Rattus norvegicus: one gene and its partners. The protein of the gene in region 1 purifies or fractionates together with the protein of each later gene. This does not show direct contact. Links are inferred from orthologs where the notes say so. Each region holds a gene or a part of one and is shown in the gene's direction. Other genes may lie near its edges.

Region 1 (3,958 bases):
AAATCCAACACCGGGTCTGGGAACAATGGTTACTCAACCAGTATTGAGACCTGTCCAGGTCATGCAGAATGCCAATCATGTGACTAGCTCCCCTGTGGCCTCACAACCTATCTTCATCACTACCCAGGTGAGTGGGGCTTCGACTTCTAGGTCTGTTTGGGGAGATAGACGGTGAGCCTGCAGAGGCTCTGCCTTGGACACGATCTTTATCATTGTTAGAGTTCTGTCTGTTGAACTGAGGTTCTCCGTACTGTTTCATGGAATTCTGCCTTGTGGAATGCTCAGCATAGCATTATGGCTACATGATATTGCCTGTCCATGCACCTGAGAGGTCTGTTGAGTTGAAAGTCTGAGCAGAAATCATCAGGAAAGTTAGAATTAGAAAGGCTTCACTCAGGGCTGGAGAGACGGCTTAACCATCAAGAACATTTGTTGTTCTAGCAGAGAACCCAGGTTCAATTCCCAGCACCTACATGTCAGCTCGTAGCTGTGTCTGTAACTTCACTTTCAGAAGGCTTGATGCCTTCTGACCTCCACAGACACCAGGCATCCCTGTGGTGCACATACATACGTGCACAGTCATACACATCTTAAGGGGAAAAAAACCTGAAGCCTTCACATTTGCCTTGCAAGGGATAACTTTTGCCTGGGCTGCTTCTATCCCCTAGGGTGAATTCATTGACTTTTAAATACATGTATAAAATAAGTGGTCTTTGAAGGAAGGCTCTGCCATACAGTATACCGGTTGTCAGTTGAAAGCCCAAATCTGGGTGGAATTTAAGAGGCACATGCTTCTTTCTGCCTTTGTAGTTACCAGAGGTTTGTGGCCTTTGAAGTGGGCTTGAGAGCAACATATTTTTAAAAAAAGGTGATTTATCTGTCGGAATACTAGATTAAATACTATTAGTGATTTTTCTTCCCTTCAAAGCACAGTGTATGGATGCATAGTTTTGTTGCTTTTGCTTCTTTAGTTTGCTAAGCACTCTGGGTGTGGTGTTACATGCTTATAACCCCAGCTTTTAGAATGAAGCAGAAAATTGTCATAAATTCAAGGCTTGCCTGGGCTCCATAGCAAGTTTAAGGCCAACCTGGGCTATATAAAGCCCTGTCTCAAAAAAACAGAACAAAAATACCCCAAAGATATTTGCCAACAGAATTAGGAGTTTGGGGGCAGCCTAAGCTACATAGCAAGACCCGTCTCAAGGCAAAAACAAAGGACAAAAAACACCCCATAAAAACCTAGCATGCCATAATTTCCTAAAATTCTCCATTTCAGTCATTTGAAAGCTGTGATTCTAGAGAGAGCTGCTAGGTAAGACTGTGGAGCTGTCAGTCATATTGTAGTCAGTGTCTGGCTAGTTGGTCTGTATTAAAGGTCATTTTTCTTTTTGATACAGGGATTCCCTGTAAGGAATGTTCGCCCTGTACAGAATGCCATGAACCAGGTTGGGATCGTGCTGAATGTACAGCAAGGCCAAACAGTCAGACCAATTACACTGGTCCCAGGTAAGGACATGTTTACAACCTGGCATCCAGATACTTACTCTTATTGTTTCAAAATAGTCTCGGTCATTTGGAAGTATGTATTTAAACAGAATTTTAAAATACCATGTTAACAATTTAAGTCCAATTTTAAAAAGTCTGAACTTTAGTCAAGTGGTAATTTTAGTTTTACATTTAACTTTTCACCACCATTCATGAGGTAAAATAAGTCTTATTTAGTCAAACAGTATCTGCTGATGAGGTCAGCTCTTGTTTGTTATCCTGAAAGAATATTGTTAATGCAAACCCACAAATCTAATGCTCCCCATACATTTACTCACTTATGGGATAGGATTATAAATTGAATTTTTCTTTAACTGTAAAGCATAGGTTTTCTATATGCCACTAGGTATGGTGACACACTCCTGGAATCCAACATTCAGGAGGTTGAAGCAGGAGGATTACTGTGAATTTAAGGCCAAGTCTTGTCTCAAGAAATAAACAAGCTAAGGCAGAGGTTGGGGGAATTTTAGATATAAATTAAGTAAATGATAGATGTTTTGAAGATAATACTACCATTGACCATATAATGGAATATTAAAGAATCTTGGGGGGTTGGGGATTTAGCTCAGTGGTAGAGCGCTTGCCTAGGAAGCGCAAGGCCCTGGGTTCTGTCCCCAGCTCCGAAAAAAAGAACCAAGAAAAAAAAAAGAATCTTGGGGCTGGAGTTATAGCATTTTTAGCATTGCTTGAGGCCTTGGGGTCAATTTTTCAGTACCAAAAGAAGATTCTTGTAATTTCCCCCCAAATCACAATGCTTACCTATTAGGTTTTCTACAGTTTGGCTCAAAAAGAGAGTAACTTTATTTGTGTAAACAGTCCTTAGGACCAGTAGGTGTCTCAGGGCTAAATGGACCTGTGTTCACTCCCTAGAGGCCACATGATGGAAAGAACCAGTTCCCACTTGGTTTGCTCTGACTCCACTTGCACACTGTGGTATGCATGCCACCCCCACCCCCCACCCCTCACACATATACACATACACACACTCAGATAAATACAAGGACAATAAGGGGCTTCTGTGGTTGGCTTTCCAAAGCATTTTGTTTGTTTTTTTTTTTTGTTGTTGTTGTTGTTCTTTTGTTTCCTTTGTTGTTGTTTGAGAGCCATCAGGGCATTTAAGGCATAAATCTGATGAGATGTCTCTAACATTCTGAGGTTCTCTAAATGTTTTTCCCTGGGATTGTCTACAGTAGTTCTAGAAAAAGGTCAACCTTTGGGACATTGAGGTAGAGTAGACTGCCTGTCCTATTTGAGTATACAGAAGAAAATGGAAAATTCTTTTAGAATTCTGAAAAAAGACTTTAAGGACCAAGTCTGCCCTTTGGCCTGCATATACCCAATCTTTTCCCACTTCTAATATGGAGGCCAAGCTACTGTAAAAAAGAGTGTGTGCAGGGCATCTGAAAAGAGTTGGTGGGAATTTCTTCTGACTGCTGCTTTACGAAACGTTGGATAATTCCTTTTGTTTGACGGACAGCTACAGCTTTCTTAGATGTTCAGATCGATGCTACTCTTAGTGATCTCTGGTGGTCACTCAGTCAGTTTAGGGAGTAACTTTTTCCTGTTCTTGTATTTCTAGGAAAGGCAAGAAAATATTTTATAGGTGAGCTCACTGATGAAGGTTTGGGACTTTTTTTGTCTCTTTTTTTAAAAGCCCCAGGTACACAGTTTGTTAAGCCGACAGTTGGCGTCCCACAAGTGTTCTCTCAGATGACCCCCGTGAGGCCAGGCTCCACAATGCCTGTGAGGCCCACCACCAACACCTTTACCACCGTCATCCCAGCTACTCTCACCATCCGAAGCACTGTCCCACAGTCCCAGTCCCAGCAGACCAAGTCCACCCCCAGTACCTCCACTACTCCCATTGCCACACAGCCAACCGCATTGGGGCAGCTAGCTGGTCAGCCTCCAGGCCAGCCCAACCAGACCTCGAATCCCAAACTAGGTGAGATGTGGACGAGGAGACGGCAGAACAGCATGGGGCAGTGGGTGGGAAACAGATGATTTTCACTTGGTCAATGTAGCTCCCTCCTTCCCCTCTCCACCTGCAGTGAGCATTGCCAGCTTTGTCACTGTGAAGCGACCTGGGGTTACAGGTGAAAATAGCAACGAAGTGGCCAAGTTGGTGAATACTCTTAACACTATCCCTTCCCTGGGCCAGAGTCCTGGGCCAGTGGTGGTGTCCAACAACAGTTCTGCTCAAAGAACCAGTGGACCCGAATCTTCAATGAAAGGTAATGTGAGAGACTGAAACACCATTCAGTCACGCAGAAAACATTGCTAAAGCATTTCTTGCATTGAAACTATTGTGAAATGGATAAATAGGATGCAGGTGCTTTGTTTTTACAGAAATGGTAATGTGGTAAAAGATTGAAAATGTAGCTGCACCAGCAGCGTTGGGGATCAGGTAGTG
Region 2 (4,548 bases), on another chromosome or scaffold:
CCAGCAATTGGGAAGATAAGGCAGGAGGACTTCTGGGAGTTTTGAGGCCAGCTGAGATGTACAAAAGATAACTGCTTACAACGCGTTGTTAAGGTTCCAGCTAGCCAACTATGCATAAAACACACACACACCGGGGGCGGGGTGGGGATGATGTAAGGTATTGTTTTATTTTGTTATGGAAATTTCATGCAAAGTGAAGGAGGCGAGGCAGAGGAGGCCCGCATAGCCCCAGGCACCCTTTACCCCATTTCCACACCCCCATCAAAAGTGCCGCATTTATTGAGCCGGGTACCGTGTCAGTTTCCCTAATTTACTCCATCTGCAGGAGCTGTATCATCAAGGAAGGCCTCTCGATTGGCATCAGTGCCGGGAGAGAGTGAGCTCGGAGCAGCAGGGACAAAGGGTTTTCAGATAAAGCGTTGGCGAGATCAAAGCCTGAGAAGGCAGAGATCGCTGCGTTTGAAGTGCTGGGGATCTGGACCGGATAAAATGGTGGGTGGGTCCAGCAAAGGCATTAGGGACAGAAAGGCCAGGTGTAGGGGATGCATATCTGTCATCCCAGCCCTCCGGAAGCTGAGGCAGGAGAACTGCAGGCAGTTCATGAAAACCTCCTGGAGCTAGAGTGAGTTCCACACAGGGGGACTCTCAGGAACAAAGCAAAACACAACTTTTCATTTTCTGTGATGTAATGGGACTCTACTATAGTTTTAGATTGCTAGTGACATGGGAGAGGGTTGTAGGGATGGCTACGAATAGTATGAAGTGATAGCTCTTTAAAATTACCTACAGGGGCCGGGCTGGCTGCCATATGCCTGTAATTTCAGCACTCTAGAGGTAGCGTTCAAGGTCATTTTTTCCATCCAGGTGTTGGCGGCTAACCTGAGCTACATGAAACCCTGCCTCAAATAAAAAAATAAAAATAAAAGAAGGAAAAGGAAAAGAAAAAGCAAACACCTATAGGAAACTTTCTAATTGTGTTCCATGCAAAAGCTGCCTTGACTTCCTCTAAGAATGCGGGCACTACTTTGCCTCTGGTCATTTGCTTTAGCGATTCTAGTTGGCTCCAGTTCAGACTTGGCTTAAAAATCAGCTCTTGCAGAACCTTGGGTTGGGGCAGGCGTTTCTGGCATCCACGGCTCCTCTTCCAGGTCTTGACAGTTCTAAGTATTAGTCTAAAAAAATGTGGTTCATCTTCCTTAGACTGGGGGTCCAGATCTCTCGCAACGCATAAGTACCACGTGCTGTCCTGGTACTTATCCTAGGTGACAGGGACGTGAACCCGGTCCCAGACCTTAAGTACTTTCAGGACAAGGTTGCCATCCCACTACGCTTAAGTCTGCAGTCCCCTAAACGCATGCGCTTTTCTCAGGTGCCCCCCCTCTCCATCCATATGCTAATCACTGCGCTCCGGAGGACAGCCTCTCCCGGGAATATGCAAATCACATCCTCCAGTGCGGGAGGCCTTCCTTTGTCCAGCGCTAGGATTATGCAAATAAGCGAGTCTCCAGCCCCGGGATCTAGGCAGAGTATTTAGGCCCCCATTTTCCCCTCACCCCAAGGCACCCCCTATTTATAAGGCGCGTTCGCTCTACCGCGCACGCACGCGCGATTCTTGAATCTTCTTCACCCTTCGGACCGCGGACTGTACCAAGTCTAGCGGGGCTGTGAGCCGCAGAGCCCGACACCTCCGCCGGCTTGAGCTCTGCAGCCTGTGCAATTCTCTGAGCCCCTCTTCCCACCGATCGCCGGGAATGGTCTGTCTGACCGCGCACGCGCCCTGAGCGCCTTTCGCCCCTCGCTCACTTGCTCGCTCGCTCGCCTAGCCTCCCTAAACGCAAGCGCAGTGCTCGGGCGTGCAGCCGCTACCGCTGAGCCGAGCCGGGGCCGCCGGCGTCGGTGAGTGTCCGTGGTTGGGGTGGCGCGGGGCATGCTGGGAAGCGGGCGATACAGCCCCGCTGCATGACGGGAGCCTGCGGCGACTTGGCAGAGTGACCAGCCAGAGAGTCCTTTGCTTCTCCCAGCACGCGGCTCGGGACCTACCACAGCTTCGCCTCGAGGCATTGTGGGAGTCCGTGGGCCAGGAGTTATGGGCCTGGGGCATTCTGGGAAGGGCCTGGGCTCCTGGAAGGGACTTTTTTTTTTTTTTTTCTTTTTTTCTTTTTGGTCGCACACGCTCTCCTCCAGAAGCCTCACGGCTAGGAGCGTTTCGGTGCCCGGCGTTTGTATAGGGTGGTCGTTAAAGGCCCGAGGCATCGTGGGAAGTTGTCACGGGGCATTGTGGGAGCTGATCTTTATTGTTTGATAGCGGGTTTCTCCGAGTCCTTGTCCTACCTAGCGTTGTGCGAAAAGGTATCTATTGTGTTCACTCACACAATGTTGGTTCATTTGTGTGTGGGGTGGGTGGGGTCTTAGCCACTCTGTGCTTTTGAGGGAACTGGGGCAGACGGTTTCATGTTCTTGGTTTTGGACCCACAATATCGTGGAGTACGACCTAGAATTTAAAATTTACCAAGTGCTGAGTTCGCAGGGGTGCGCGCCACGCCCAGCAGATTTTCACCTGTCATGCTTCCACCTGATATCCGGAACATTCTGGAAGGAGCTTTATATAACGTGGGTTTGGAAAGGGATGGTTGTCCCCAAGTAACCCCGAGGAAAGTCCTGACAATTTCTGGTGTGATGGTCAAGTGGAATAATAGTTAAAACCCAGTGTGATGTCACGTGCCTATAGTTCCAACACTCAGGGGCTGGGGCAGGAGGATTCGATATTTTGTTTTTTGTTTTGGGGGTTTTTTTGGGGGGGGGACAGATCTCAAAAAAGAGTGAGTTTGGGTTTATGGAATGGGTAATCCTAGGTACCGCATGGAATACATATATTAAATATTTATTTTAAATAGAAACTTAACCAGTCGTCCTCCGTTTTTCCTTGCTAAATAGTGCGAGTTTTTCCAGAAATAATACTCCAGAGTTAGAGGGCCTACACCTGATGGATAGTCAGGAGATCCCTTCCTTGTCAATTCCTATTTCTCTGTCCTTAAAAGGCCTGATCCAGGATCTAGGTGTCTTTAGGAAATTCCCTACCCAATGATACCACCCTTCTCCTGCTGCTCCAGCTACATTCCCCCAACAGCAAACATTTGGGCTTTGAAAAGACAGCGTGCTTTCTACCATTGTTTGTGTCCCCAGTGCCTAACATTGAGCCTTTGTCTTATTACTAGTGTCCCTGTCTATAGTACTGGGAAGCTGAGGTTAGAGCATTGCAAGTTCAAGGCCAGCCTGGACTGGATAGCAAGTCTAATGGAGAGTGGAAACCATATGTGCCTGGTCTTGCAAGGTCCTCTCCCAATGTAGGAGGAGGAAGAAATGTGTACATTGAGAGTAGTGGATTATTGGAGCCAAGGAGCAATATAGATGTTTAGAGGTGAGCTTTGCAAGGGTGAGAATGAGCTCTACAGATCCACAAAGAAGAAGGAGAAAATTCCAGATGGCAAATGGATGATGAACTGGGACCCTTCCCATCTGGCAATAAAAGGCCTTTATGTGCCTGCTTCCAACCCCACAGAAGCCTGGAGAGATGGCAAGAAAATACATTTATTTATTTATTTATTTATTTATTTATTTATTTATTTATTTATTTTATTTTGGTTCTTTTTTTTGGAGCTGGGGACCGAACCCAGGGCCTTGTGCTTCCTAGGCAAGCGCTCTACCACTGAGCTAAATCCCCAACCCCAAGAAAATACATTTATAATTTTTTTTTTAAGACAGGGTCTCATTTAGCTCAGACTAGCCTCAAACCTCAAATTCTGTTAAGGCCAACTAATGGCCTTAAACTACAGATTTACCAGCCTGAGGGCTAGACTGTAGGTATAGACTGCCTACTTCTATTCAAAGCATGGTTTTGAATCCTTGCTCAACCACCAGTCTGCTGAGGTGACCAGCGTGATCTTGAGCTTTGGACAGCGTGCAGGTCTTCTCCTTACTTCCTCTTCTGCCTCAGAGAGCTGTTTTTGTGTGGTTCTGAGTGTGCCAATCAAGGTCTACACACAGGCTTTCCAGAGAAGGAAACAGACAAGAGAAGTGGGGTCCCATTTGAAGCAATAGGCAAAAAATGCCAGGTTTGAGTTTAAACCTAGGCAAGGGTGACTGTTATACAATTGGCGTAGGTTGACGCCCACCACCCGGTGTGGTGATGATCCTGTGATCCTAGCTAGCACTTGGGAGGAAAAGAGGCAGGAAGATCTGGAATTCAAGGTCATCTGAGGCTACTTAGTAAACTTGAGGCCAGCCCGGGTTCCATGATGCCTTGTTTCAAACAAGCAAAATGGAAGGATATTGATTCATCTCAGTAGGCAGAGTGGAGTGTTTGCCTAGCATGCCTGAAGCCCTACCATTTGATCTCTTGCGTTTGGGAGGTAGATCCAGGAGTGTCAGAATTCCAAGGTCAGGGTATTTGAAATCTTGTCTCTTAAAAACAAAGCAATTTAAAACATTTCCAGGCTAGCTGGTATCTCAACTGTACCAAGTGTTTAGTGTCCCTAATAGTCAACGATC
Region 3 (4,666 bases), on another chromosome or scaffold:
TAGGGATTATTAATATGAAGATTTATATATGAGTAATATATTGGGATATTAATTACTAAAAGTCTGCTTTATAGCATTATAAGAATAACTAATAAATACTGTGATGGCTGTTGCCAACTTGTTCTCCCTCGCCTTTAAACTAAGGAACTAATTTTTCCCATCTGTAAATTCAGTTGAAAGGGTTTTTTCCTTTTTCTTTTCTTTTCTTTTTTGTTTTTAAGATTTATTTATTTTATTTATATGAGTGCACTGTACCTGTCTTCAGACACACCAGAAGAAGGTATCAGTTCTCATTACAGATGGTTGTGAGCCACCATGTGGTTGCTGGGATTTGAACTCAGGTCCTCTGGAAAAGCAGTCAGTGCTCTTAACCACTGAGCCATCTCTCCAGCCCTCTTTTTCTTTTCTTTTTCTTTTTTTTTTCCTTTGGTGGTATGGGGGTGTAGCTCAGTAGTCTGTATGGTTAGCATTTCTTCTAGGCTCCTCCTCCCCACAGTTACCTGGCAACAGCCAGGTATGCCTTGCTAACTATAATAGGGGCTGCTTGCCACCTCCTCTCTCTTGCTCTTATTCTCATACTCTCCCTGACCACTTTCTCCCTTTCCCCCTCCCTCCACTTGTTCCTGGCAGACCTTTCCTCACTCTCTCCCTCCCTCCCTCCTTCCCTCCCTCCCTGCCTCTCTCTCTCAACTCCCTTCCCAACTCCATTTCCCATGCCCTAAATAAACTCTGTTCCATACTCTAGCTGATACTATATGGCTGGTACCTCAGGGGGAAGGGATGCCTTAGCTTGGGCCCATAGAGGCACCCCCTCCCACCTCACCGTACCTGGCTCTATCAAACATATCCTGGCTCTTTGTTTTTTGTTTGTTTGGTTTGTTGTTTTGCTTTTTAAATAAAACAACAGTATAATGCCCTGGTTTCCATAATCAGCTCCCAAAATCACAAAGCTTGATCCCTGGTCATTGTTTGTTTAAAGTCTTTGGGTTCTGTTGTAATTCTCTCAAACAAGAGATGTTACATAGTAAAATATTTTCCCTCTCCCTTTCCTGTTACTTTTCCCCCTCAAGCAATTTTAATTAACTGGACAGATGATGGGAAAGCCTTTGTCCCGAATGATTCTAGATAAAGGGTTGATTGTCCTGATCTGTTGTAGTACCTAATCTTGCTTTTCCCCTTCTTCCAGTGAGCGATAATCCTGTTAGGTGGTCCTAAAATGCTATTGATTAATTCACAGCGCTTTTAGAGAAATAAGCCTAAATTTTGGACTTTAAAACAAAGAACCTAACTCCCTTGAGCTCTGAAAGCCTTAGCCTCGGGGCCAGGGGAAGATACCTTCCAACTTCTCCACCCAGTCTGCAGTGAAAAGGAAAGTTAAGCCTTTTAACTTTTTCATTTGCCTCTCCCCCCCTTAGTCTAGTACGGCTGCCAGTTGTCATGGCAACGGACTGGGACAGCTGCGCAGTGGCGCCCAGGCAGCTGGGTGGGGGCGGGGGAGCTGCCAGCCCGCCAAGCCCCAGACCTGGGAGGGGAGGCCCCTCCTGTTAGCCCAGAGGGAAAGAACGAACTGGGGCGATCCGGTAGGTAAGGTAGGGAACCCCTATTGATCTACTTTGAGGGCTTCTCTTCAACATAAAGGTATAAAGAAAAAAATTCTCTTCCTCAAACTGAAGAACACATATGTAAATCCTTGTTGTTTTTTTTTTTTTTTTTTTTTTTTTTTTCCTGGTGAGGCAGGGAAGGCCATAGCCACAATGCTTAACTGCATGCTTCCAACATGGGGCTGGTTTTAACCCAGCGCTCTGACCTAAAGTGCTCAGCTCCCGGAAATTCCAAGGTGAGTGGGGGTGGGGGTGGGGTACTCTCCCTGGAATATGACATTTCCTGTCTGTGGTGAGGTCGGAGGCTGTGTTTATTTTAAATAAACCTTATATATTTTTTGATGTTTATGAGTCTTCTAAATAAATGGAAAGATTATTTCAAAACCCCTTAACTACATTCCCCCAAGCCTTTCTCAAATAAAGTTACCATAGGTCAGAAATTAATATAAGCAGTTTTTGAGGCGGGCATACCTATTTGCTAACCAGTTTTATAGGTAGGATTTTCAACACTTTATTTTTGTAATAATTTCTTACAAATTAATAATTTAAATAAATTGTTAAATACAACTTCTGCTTCTTTGACTTGAACATGATTTTAAGATTAGCTGCCCTTTTTATTTCTGAGATTGGCTTTCTGGCCAAGATGGGAATGTTCTGAAAAATATCTTTAGAGATTATAGCAAAATAACAATGGAGTCAACTGAGAATCAATTCTTGCTACTTGGTAATTCAGACTATGGGTGCCATTTAACATTGTTAAAGAATTATTTTAAAATGATTATGGTAACAACAGTGTGGGAATTTTAAAAACTAGATTCTCTGTGAGCACTCCTGATGTGCATATTTCTGAGCTTAACTCAGTTTCCATTTGTGCTGCCTTGCTGTGGCTTTTCTGGGGCCTGAGGCTGATGAATAAGTCCTCTGTGTTCTTAGGAGGCTTCATGTTGATGCAGAGTCTGGGGCCAGACTTCTCCTTCCTCTTCCTTTGGCCCAAAGTCAACTTCAGTTAAGAGACAAGGTACCTCCTGAACTATTTAGGTTAGTTGAGCTCTGGGAATTACAGACTAGTCCAGTGAGTAATTCTGAAATTTTTTTCTCTGCCCCTCTTCCCTTTTATCCCCAACTGAGCTTGCTAAAAAGAAGACTTAGTATGTTTGAGCTGTCAGCCTTGCTTCTGTGAGCTGATAGATAATCTGAAAGGACAGGCTCAAATTGTTTAAGGGAAATGTACCAATTCAATGGAAATGTGAGAGATGGCCCAAGCAGGATGTGTGTGTGTGTATCCTGAGAGTTCAGAGTATAGAAAAATTAAATTCAGGTGCATTGGGGGGAAAGGGTCTTTTATTCACCTTGATGGAAAAAGATTTTTTTTATTCTTTGTTTCTTTAATTGAAGGCTTTCCATATTTCTTTTTGAGTTCCTGGCTCACAAGTAGATGTAGAAATGGTCAGGAGTAACATGCATGCTGTTTGCTCTTTGGGAATATGAAATTAAAGAGTGAAACAATTATTCCATCTAATAATTTTGATCTCCAGCTGAAGAGAAGTTGTTAGAGAAGTGTGGATTGACCCATGTTAAATTTGTAGCATTGTCATATAATAATTGTAGATCAAAGAGAAGGATAAGTGTCTCACTGGTGTTATATCCTCTGTTCCATCACAAAGAGACAATTTTAACCCTCAGATAGATTAAACCATTTCATCTTTCCCCCTTTTCAGGAACCTGGTGGCCGCACTCCTTTAGGTGGACCAACACATACCCAACATGGGAAAGAAGACCAAGAGGACAGCCGACAGCTCTTCATCAGAGGATGAGGAGGAGTATGTGGTGGAAAAGGTGTTGGACAGGCGCATGGTTAAAGGGCAAGTGGAGTATCTGCTGAAGTGGAAAGGCTTTTCTGAGTAAGTGCTTTCTTTTTCAGTCTTTAAGACTTTGTAGAGATTAGAAAGCTTTGGTTTCTTTGTCCATGAGCCATAATCTGTCTTTTTCCATTTACATACTGTCATGAAAATCAAAACAGGCAGCAGACCACACACTGTCCCTATTATGGAGCTGATACTTTAATGGTTTTACTTTTGAAGAGTAGTTTAAGGAATTGGTTGGAAACACAGACTTGGGAGCTAGATATCGTGGGACCAGATTCTTGTTCCATCCCCTAAGATACAGGTGAATGACCTCGGTTAATTTCTTTTTTTTATTATTATAACTTAAATTTTTTTGCCATTTTGTTTTGTTTATTTTTTATGTTTTTTGAGACAGGGTTTTTCTGTGTAACCTTGGCTGTCCTGGAACTCCCTATTGGACCAGGCTGACTTTGAACTCAGGAGATTAGCTTGCCAAGTGCTGTGATTAAAGGCATGTGCCACCACATGGAGCTAATTTTTTTTCTAATTTTTTGTGTATAAGTGCTTTGCCTATATATACTACATGTATGTTGTCTGGTGCCCATGGTCCAGTAGAGGGCATCAGATCAGCTTGAAGAGGAGTTACAGGTGGTTGTAAGCTGCCATGTAAATGCTGGAAATCAGACCACAGTTCTCTGGGAGAGTAGACAATCCTCTTAAACACTGAACCATTTCTTCAGCCCATTGGCTAATTTTATAATCCCCCAACCCTCACCCCACCCCCCACTCTAATAAAAGAGGTATAAGAGGTTGGTAGGTGTAGCTTAGTAGTAGAGAGCTTTCACCCAGCATACTCAGGGTCCTGGTTTTGTCCTCACATATATACCAAAAGAGGAAAAGAAACAAAAACCCAGGGATAAGGCATAGTACTTGGTGGTCTCAGTGAGTGTGGGTGGACCTCTTACATTTGAATTTAGATCACTAGAACCCATATAGAGTCGGACTTACATCTCTCCCTGCAGTGATACACTGAGATGGGAGACAGAGATAAGAGAATCCCTGGGAGCCTGAGGGACAAGTAGCCAGTCATACATAGCAGTGAATAAGGGACCCTAGTCAAACAGGTGGAAGGCAGGGACCCATAGCTGAGGTGGTCTCTGACCTCTAATTGTATGTACACTAAGCTCACATGCAGTATATTAATAGACTTAAAAGAAGCCT
Region 4 (4,388 bases), on another chromosome or scaffold:
AAGAGAGAGCCTCAAGGAAGGCATTTTCTGCATCAGGTTGGCTAGTGGACATTTTTGTGGGGCATTTTATTGATTGCTAACTTATGGGGGAAGAGTGCCTCCCTCTGTGGGCTGTTCCATACCTGGGCAGGTGGGCCTAGGTTGTATAAGGAAGGTATCGAGCAATCCAGGGGAGGAAAGCAAGCTAGGAATAGCACCAAGGTCTCTGCTCACTCAAGGTTCCTGCCTTGAGTTTCCTCAGTATCTTATAAAGTAAACCCTTTCCCGCCCAGCTTCTTTTTGGTTAGGTTTTATCACAGCAACACAGAAGCAAAACTAGGATACTGAAGAACATTACATTCGAGTGAAAAGTGTCTCTGCTTTCTGGTTATATGATTTGCTGTGTCCCTGAAGATTCCACACATGCACACACTGAACTCTCAGAAGCTAATAGAATGAATTAGCAAAGTAGCTTGGTATAGGGTTGCACACAAAATCAGTTGTGTTTTTATATCATAACAATTAACAACAATGTACCACCAGGTAGGCTTTGTTCCTTTTCACCTCATAGGTCTTACTTCCTCAAATCTCACTTCCTTGGTTTCTGGTAGACGCTGCTTTGCCCCACCACACAGGCTTTCAGGGCGAATCTCACTCCCCTGACTTGCCAGAAAGGTCCTTCTTCTTCTCTACTCCATGGGCTTCCAAACTCTATGTCTGGCTTCTCAAGCATCTCCCAGCCCCATGGTTGACAAGAGTTGACTCCAAACACGGAGAAACCCATGCAGAAGGTGGCAGTGAAGAGGACAAAGAAACTTGCTGACCCTTGGATAGTGGCTGTTGGTGCAAGCAGTCATGGAGTCTCAAAAGTGGGTTAGGGATGCTTATGGTGGCTTGTGCCTTTGAGCCCAGCACCTGAGAGGCAGAGACAGGTGAACCTCGGGGCTGCATAGGGAGAGACTCTGTCTTAAAAAAACAAACAAAAGTCACTAACTTTATGTGTCAGACAGCATGGGCTGCTTAAATAAGGTGGCCCTGAGTTCATTTCTATCACCATTCAAAACCAAAACTCAAGGAACCAAACCACCACCACCACCAAAGGCAAAAGCTTAAGAAATTACATAGGTATATAAAGTAAGGTAAAATAGGTCTTCCCAATCTTTCAAAGCAAACGGACTAATGCTAAAACTAAAGGTGAGTATATTTCAATTGTACTTGAAGCCGATTTCTAGAGTTTGAGTTTGAAGACAGGAAACCCGTTTACTGTCCTCTAAGAGCTTTGTTATTGCCTAGTACAGACAGTGTCCCAATGAACGCGTCTTTACTGAGAAGGGATCAAATCAAAAGACAAAAACAAACGCACACACACAAAATACAACAGCAACAAAAATCCAAACTATCGAAAAAGAGGGAAGCAAAGAGACAGAAGCCCAGGACAGAGGTTCAGTCCTTGCTTCGCCAAGCCCAGCCTAGCTGGGAACCTTAGGGCCGGGGGAGGGGGCGACCCGGAGGCACGCGACGGCACTTCCGGTGCGGGCGTGCGTTACTTCCCGGCTAGTCCTGCGTCCAGCCGCCATTCCCGAGGCCGTGCGGCCAGCCCAGCGTTTCCTGTGGGCGTATCCTCCTCTTCACTCCAGGACACCTTGCCGGAGGGTGAGGAGCCGGCGGGCGCCTTGGTTCGGGCTGCAGGGTTGGGTGGGCGGGCGCCGTGGTGCTGGCGGGGGCTTTAGTGCCTTTGGCGTGGCCTGGAGGCCGGAGCGCACCGTGGCTTCTTCCTGTTCTCCGCCTCCAAGGCCGGTCTTTTTTTTTTTTTTTTTTTTTTTTTAATCTTGGTTCTGTCCGTGTAGCGTAGCGTCGCTCAGGATGGGAGGGGGCAATATCGGTCAGGAATTTGCTTTAGGGCTACTGACCTGAGGTCCTAAAGACCTGTGACCTGTGACAGAAGGTCTCCCGACGTGGACCATATATGGGGTTAGCCTTGTCCAGGGAGCCTTTCGGATGGCTGCAGACTAGTAGGGTGTTTTCCAAGAAAGGGCCAGCGCTTTGGCACTTTGCTGTGGAGTGTAAACTCGTGCCAATCTAGTGTTCTCTCACATTTAAACTAAAGATCGCTCGGTGCCCAGAAGTTTTACCCCCAGGTAAACGGGTCATGCTTGTCAAGAACACAAGGAACTCTGAGCAGTAAAATTACTCTGAGAACCCTAACGGCACTCAGGTGACTCTGCCTCTCATGTAAACTGTGGGCTTCCTAAATTAGGCTGGGATTGATGGTGAGCCCTTGCTTAGCAAGAGTGAGGCTTTGGGTTCCGTCCCAGCACTTGGAAACAAGAAAGTGTCACTTGTTACAAATTACCTCACTAACGCGAATTGTCAATAGAATTGGAAAACGTGTAGAAACGTGCCAGTTATTTGTGCTTTGTGTTGTTGTTTTTAAAACACAAAACTAGTCAAGATGTATATCATTTTTTTAAAAAAAAGGCTATTCATAAAGAACAATTGTACTAGTATGTACAATAGACTAATAGATCCAACGTCCTAGGTTGCTTTCTGTTGCTGTGATCAACCACCTTTGGGGAGAAAAGGGTTAATTTCATCTTACAGGTTGTAGTCCGTTGTTGAGGGCAGGAACTCGAGCTGAAAACACAGTTATAGCTGCGTACTGTTGATTTAGTTCCCTTTCTTAATCAGCATAGGCCTACAAGCCTAGGGACAGTACTTGCTATAGCGGGCTGAATATCCTACAGCAATTATAAATCAAAGTAAATGCCCCACAGATGCCTATAAACCAGTCTGGTGGAGACAGTTTTTCAGTTGAGGCTCCAGTATCCCAGGTGTGTCAGATTGGCAACCAGTGTAGCTTACATATCCACTGAGCTCACAGGCATTCTATGTTGAATTTTTAATATGAAACATGTATATCAAAGTGAAGGAGGCTATCACGGCCAGGTATGGTGATTGGACGCCTTTCATCGAAGAGCTCAACTCTGGGGACAGGGGAAGGTGGGTCTCTGGGAGTTGGAGGTCAGCCTAATCTACATGGTGAGCTCCAAGACATCTAGGGCTGCATAGAGACACGAAACTGTCGGTAACTAGGAAGAGAGTGAGTGGACTAATGTGCGGATGCATTGGAAAGTATGGGTCACCAGCTGACAGCACCAGTGACCAGTGCAGACTTTTAGTCTTTACAGTTAGTGTCAGAAGTGCCGGAATCCAGACGGGAGTCTATGCACATTGTCAAGCAAAGATTCAGAGTCAAGACCTTGAAGAGTTTAGTTTCTCTCAGGGCATGGAGTTGGGTTGATGGGGAGGACCTGGGAAGAATAGGGGCGTGGGACGAGATCAGAATGCACTGTGTTGAGATCAGAATGCACTGTATTGAGATCAGAATGCACTGTGTTGAGATCAGGATGCACTGTATTGAGATCAGAATGTACTGTATTGAAAACATTGTTTTTAAAGGATAGCCTTTTCTTCCCTCTCTTTTTTTAAAGATTTATTTATTTTATGTATAGGAGTACACTGTAGCTGTCTTCAGACACACCAGAAGAGGGCATCAGGTCCCATTACAGATGGCTGTGAGCCACCATGTGGTTGCTGGGAATTGAACTCTTGAAAAGAAGCCAGTGCTCTTAACCGTTGAGCCATCCCTCCAGCCCTCATTTTTTTTTTTTTTAAATCAAAAAGAAAAACCTCAAAAATACAACACTTAAAAAGAAATTACTCTCTGAGCATTTTTCTCCATTGTAAAACGAAGAGATTGGGCTCTTAGTCCTTTTGGTCTTGTGTTGATTGCTAACTTTTCAGTGTGCTGCCACTGACAAACACTTTGTTCCAATTCATGATAAAGCATTTTATAAAATGTGCTGGGGCTGGAGAGCTGGCTCAGCTGCTAAGAGGCCTTTTTGTTCTTGCAGAGAACCCAGCTTTGATTCTCACCATCTACATGGTAGCTCATAATAGTCTGTAGCCTCAGTTCAAGGAATCCAGTGCCCTCTTTTGACCTCCATGAGCACCAGACACACAGATATAAATGTGATCAAAACACTCATAAATAAATCTAAAAAAGAAAGACGTCTGTACTATCCATAAGTTTTCCTTTGTGACATGTTTATATTCATAAGTGATAATTTTTAATACTGCTTGTCAACATGTGTTTTACATGTTTTCCCAGCGTACTAGGATACCCTGCCTCTTCTATTCTTTCCATTGCTAATTGACCTTACCCATGCTAGGCAAGTGTACATCCATTAAGCTACAACTCTTTGGAGACTCTGTCTACTGGGTGGTGGTGGTATATGCACTGGGACAGAGACAGGCAGATCTCTGAGTTCAAGGCCAGCCTGGTGTACAGAGCGAGTTCCAGGATATCTAGGGCTACACAGAGAAACCCTATCTTGACAGAATGAGGT
Region 5 (3,628 bases), on another chromosome or scaffold:
GATAAAGATGTGGTTACTGATAGAGGTCTTGCCTAGCATGTACAAGGCTCATGGTTTGAACTTCAGCGCCCACTCCCTCACCCTCAAAAGATTGAGTGTTGATTGTAAAACTTTACCCAAGTTTTTAAAAGTCACACATGGCTAGGTGTGGTAGTTGCACACCTTTGATCCCGATACTTAGAGGCAGAGGCAAATGGTTGTCTGTGAGTTTGAGGCTAGCTGGTCTCCAAAACAACATAGAGCTGCAGTTTTCAACCTGTGGGTCATGACCCCTTTGAGGGCCAAATGACCCTTTCACAGGAGTCATGTATTAGATATCCTGAGTATCGGATGTTTATGTTATAATTCATAACTGTAGAAAAATTACATTTATGATGTAGCAATGGAATTTTTTGGTTAGGAGTCAGCACAAGATGAGAACTGTATGAAGGGTTGCAGCATTAAGAAGGTAGAGAACCACTGACACAGACTGATACATGTATGCTCATGGGTCTGTGTATCTGTAGAACAATACACATGGCTCTGGCTTCTATTTCTAGTACCACATACATGCACATTAAAAAAAATGTGAGGGGCTGGGGATTTAGCTCAGTGGTAGAGCGCTTACCTAGGAAGCACAAGGCCCTGGGTTCGGTCCCCAGCTCCGAAAAAAAAGAACCAAAAAATAAAATAAAAAAATGTGGGGCTGGAGAGATGGCTCAGTGGTTAAGAGCACTGGCTGCTCTTCCAGAGGTCCTGAGTTCAAATCCCAGCAACCACATGGTGGCTCACAACCATCTGTAATGAGATCTGATGCCCTCTTCTGGTGTTGCTAAAGTACACTACAGTGTACTCATATACATAAAATATAATAATTCTTAAAAAAAAAATGGGCTGGAGAGATGGCTCAGCAGTTAACTGGCTTCTTTTCTAAAAGACTCAGGGTCAGTTCCCTGTGCCTACATTGTGGTTCACTACCTTGTAGAACTGTAGTTCCAGGGAATCTTAACATCAGACACACATTTGTATACATATGTATAGGCAAAAGACGTACACATAAAATTTTTTTAATTTGCTGCATGGTTTTCCAGGAAAGTGGTAATACCTGTCCATTGCTGAAAATAGAAAATATTTCTATGTAGTGAAAAGACTTAAACTTACTCCAGAATCTCTGTTAAAATAGGGCAGTGTGTTAGATACTTTGTAAGTACATTTCCAGCCATCTTGGTGTGGTTTCTTATAGAGGCTTAATCATATGGGCTTATTCTGTGGTTCTCTGTGGCTCTAAACCCTTGTTCATGGTCACATTTGGGAGGTTTGTGGTGGGGCCTTGTCACATTCTGTCCTGCCCCACGCTGCTGCCTCTGTCTGGGACGGACCCAGTGAGCTGAAGATGAATGGATAGAGCTTCCTCCTAGTTAACTCCCTATAATGCATATTATTCCCAGATTTTAATCTTGTTTACCTTCTGAAATTCTAATTAAGCTTTTGGGGGGAGGGGCTTTTCTAAAGAAATAGTTGAGTCAGATGACCTACCTTTTGACGACGTTTCTTAGAGAAGATTTTTGTTAGTTTTGTTTTGTTTCAGTTTTTGAGACAGGGTTTCTCTGTATAGCTCTGGCCATCCTGGAGTTCACTTCGTAGACCAGGCTGGCCTCGAACTCACAGCAACCTGCCCTTGGGGGGAGTTTTTTTTTTTTTTTTTTTTTTTCCCCCACATGGAGAGGTTTAATGAGAGAAGAAGAGTAGAAGAGGGGAGGAACAAAGGCTGGCCATGAGCATGTGGAGGGAAGGGGGAAGGATGGGGCGAGAAGGGACAGGGAAGAGGGCACCAGAGCAGAGAAAAGGCAAGAGGGGGGGAGATTTTTAACAGGAATATCTTTGTATGATGTGATAATACATATCTAGTAAATGCTGCTTGCACCCTGTTTCCTAATTTGTTTATGGAATTTAGCCTTTAAAGCCCCATTCCCTGGGTGGTCCAAAACATGAGACCACAATGGCTGACTTCAAAGTTTCTTTGTGCTTTGTTCTGCAGGAAAAACTCTGATGAGGCTGACCTGGTCCCTGCCAAGGAAGCCAATGTCAAGTGCCCACAGGTTGTCATATCCTTCTATGAGGAAAGGCTAACGTGGCATTCCTACCCCTCAGAGGATGATGACAAAAAAGACGACAAGAATTAGCCCTGTTGAGTACCAGCCCCTGTCACCTCTGACTGTGGGTTTCCAGGGGGAGGGAAGGAGCTGTACTTGTCTTGACACCATTGAGGTGGCTTGAGAAGATGTCCTTTGAAGAGCCAGCATAGTTTCTGTGTCCTGCAGCAGCCCAAGTGCTTTAAATTGTTCACACTGTATAGTTTGCACACCCATCCCAGGGGAGGGGAAAGGGTAAGTGTTTCAAGGCTCTGTTCTGCGCTTTACTAAGGAAGGAACAGGCCTTCCATGGAGGACAGAACCCGCAGAACTGGGATGTGGGAAAGCAAAGATACTGTCGATCTTCAAAGAGCATCTCCACAACCCACTGCCTTCTTCCCAATAGTGTTAACTGCATTTTTACAGCCTAGCATGTGTGTAGTTTTTTGGCTATTACTGGTATATTAATTGGGGGTGGGAGGGTTGGGGCAGGGAGGAAGGGAGATGGGTAGAATCATTTTGATTAAAATTTGGAGCCTGATTGGGGAAATGGTGAAACAGTAGAACAGTTAACTAATAAATTGGTTCTATGTCCAGAATATTTTGCCTTTTCAAAAAATTGTCATTGGCACCATAAATAAGGACTATGAGAGACTGTTTAAAAAAAAAAAAAAGAAAAGTCTGTTAATCCTAAAACCTACAGCCAAGGTGCTCCCAACCTGAGCTCAAAGTAGCCCACAAAGGACAAAGCCAGTTCTGAGTTACCAAAGCTGCCATTTGATGATGGAAACTGACTGGAGAGGGAAAGTTTATTGGAGAGTATTAGAGGCAGACCACTCTGCCTCAGAGGTGCTAATTCTTGAAATTGGAGAAAACCTTTTCCAATTACAAAGTTATAAATATCAGTTTGTCCGTCTAAGCCATTGGCTCAAGTATTGCAGGAGGGCCTATGGGAGATGGAGGAGGGGAGCCTCTGCTCTGGGGGCAAACTCTTGGAGCCCCTCTCGCTTTTTCTTTTTTTTTTTTTCTTTCTTTCTTTTTTTTTTTTTTTTTTTTTTTATTTTGTTTTTTCAGCTTTGAACCCTGAAACTGCTTGTGGCAGGTTCAGTTACTGACAGCACAAATTCCATTGAGTCTATTCAAGGATTGAATGACTTCACAAGCCCTGGTCTCAGGAGATTAACTTTCATATTGGGGTAGTGGTTCACTTGAGAATACAAAATCTTCAGATTAACTGATGTCCAAAATACTGTCTTAAATCATGAGATCCATCAATTTTTAGTATTGTCTAGACCTGCAAATAGAATTACATTGTAAAATCTTTTTCAGCATGTGTTAAGATGTATGTGAAATTTTTTTGTTTAAGTGTAAACTTCATACCATACTGTCAGTTTTTGTCTTAATAAAATTATAGATTTCTAATTCTTGATTTCTGTCCTTTTTCCCCCAACCAGGTCTTCCAGTGTTGCCCGGTCTGGCCTAGAACTTTGAATCCTCTGCCTCCCTTCAGTATCGGA

What was found.
Region 2: the proteins of Pogz (region 1) and Zfp428 purify together in Homo sapiens (affinity purification with mass spectrometry; 3 studies listed by BioGRID and IntAct, counting the BioPlex papers as one, with this or other methods). This does not show direct contact. The link is inferred for Rattus norvegicus from reciprocal best matches to the Homo sapiens genes POGZ and ZNF428.
Region 3: the proteins of Pogz (region 1) and Cbx5 purify together in Homo sapiens (affinity purification with mass spectrometry; 5 studies listed by BioGRID and IntAct, with this or other methods). This does not show direct contact. The link is inferred for Rattus norvegicus from reciprocal best matches to the Homo sapiens genes POGZ and CBX5.
Region 4: the proteins of Pogz (region 1) and Champ1 purify together in Homo sapiens (affinity purification with mass spectrometry; 4 studies listed by BioGRID and IntAct, with this or other methods). This does not show direct contact. The link is inferred for Rattus norvegicus from reciprocal best matches to the Homo sapiens genes POGZ and CHAMP1.
Region 5: the proteins of Pogz (region 1) and Cbx1 purify together in Homo sapiens (affinity purification with mass spectrometry; 7 studies listed by BioGRID and IntAct, with this or other methods). This does not show direct contact. The link is inferred for Rattus norvegicus from reciprocal best matches to the Homo sapiens genes POGZ and CBX1.

The regions. Positions count from the first base shown.
Region 1 is NC_086020.1:185,108,122-185,112,079, forward strand, and holds part of Pogz (pogo transposable element with ZNF domain), read left to right. Parts: coding exon 1-127; intron 128-1,397; coding exon 1,398-1,506; intron 1,507-3,199; coding exon 3,200-3,490; intron 3,491-3,569; coding exon 3,570-3,779; intron 3,780-3,958. UniProt on the Homo sapiens protein: Plays a role in mitotic cell cycle progression and is involved in kinetochore assembly and mitotic sister chromatid cohesion.
Region 2 is NC_086019.1:89,225,886-89,230,433, forward strand, and holds the start of Zfp428 (zinc finger protein 428), read left to right. Parts: upstream 1-1,556; 5' UTR 1,557-1,896; intron 1,897-2,165; exon of another isoform or gene 2,166-2,349; intron 2,350-4,548.
Region 3 is NC_086025.1:136,225,999-136,230,664, reverse strand, and holds the start of Cbx5 (chromobox protein homolog 5), read left to right. Parts: upstream 1-1,546; 5' UTR 1,547-1,589; intron 1,590-1,733; exon of another isoform or gene 1,734-1,737; 5' UTR 1,738-1,837; intron 1,838-3,319; 5' UTR 3,320-3,365; coding exon 3,366-3,502; intron 3,503-4,666. UniProt on the Homo sapiens protein: Component of heterochromatin that recognizes and binds histone H3 tails methylated at 'Lys-9' (H3K9me), leading to epigenetic repression. In contrast, it is excluded from chromatin when 'Tyr-41' of histone H3 is phosphorylated (H3Y41ph).
Region 4 is NC_086034.1:82,444,281-82,448,668, reverse strand, and holds the start of Champ1 (chromosome alignment-maintaining phosphoprotein 1), read left to right. Parts: upstream 1-1,524; 5' UTR 1,525-1,632; intron 1,633-4,388. UniProt on the Homo sapiens protein: Required for proper alignment of chromosomes at metaphase and their accurate segregation during mitosis. Involved in the maintenance of spindle microtubules attachment to the kinetochore during sister chromatid biorientation.
Region 5 is NC_086028.1:82,283,641-82,287,268, forward strand, and holds the end of Cbx1 (chromobox protein homolog 1), read left to right. Parts: intron 1-2,017; coding exon 2,018-2,162; 3' UTR 2,163-2,791; downstream 2,792-3,628. UniProt on the Homo sapiens protein: Component of heterochromatin. Recognizes and binds histone H3 tails methylated at 'Lys-9', leading to epigenetic repression. Interaction with lamin B receptor (LBR) can contribute to the association of the heterochromatin with the inner nuclear membrane.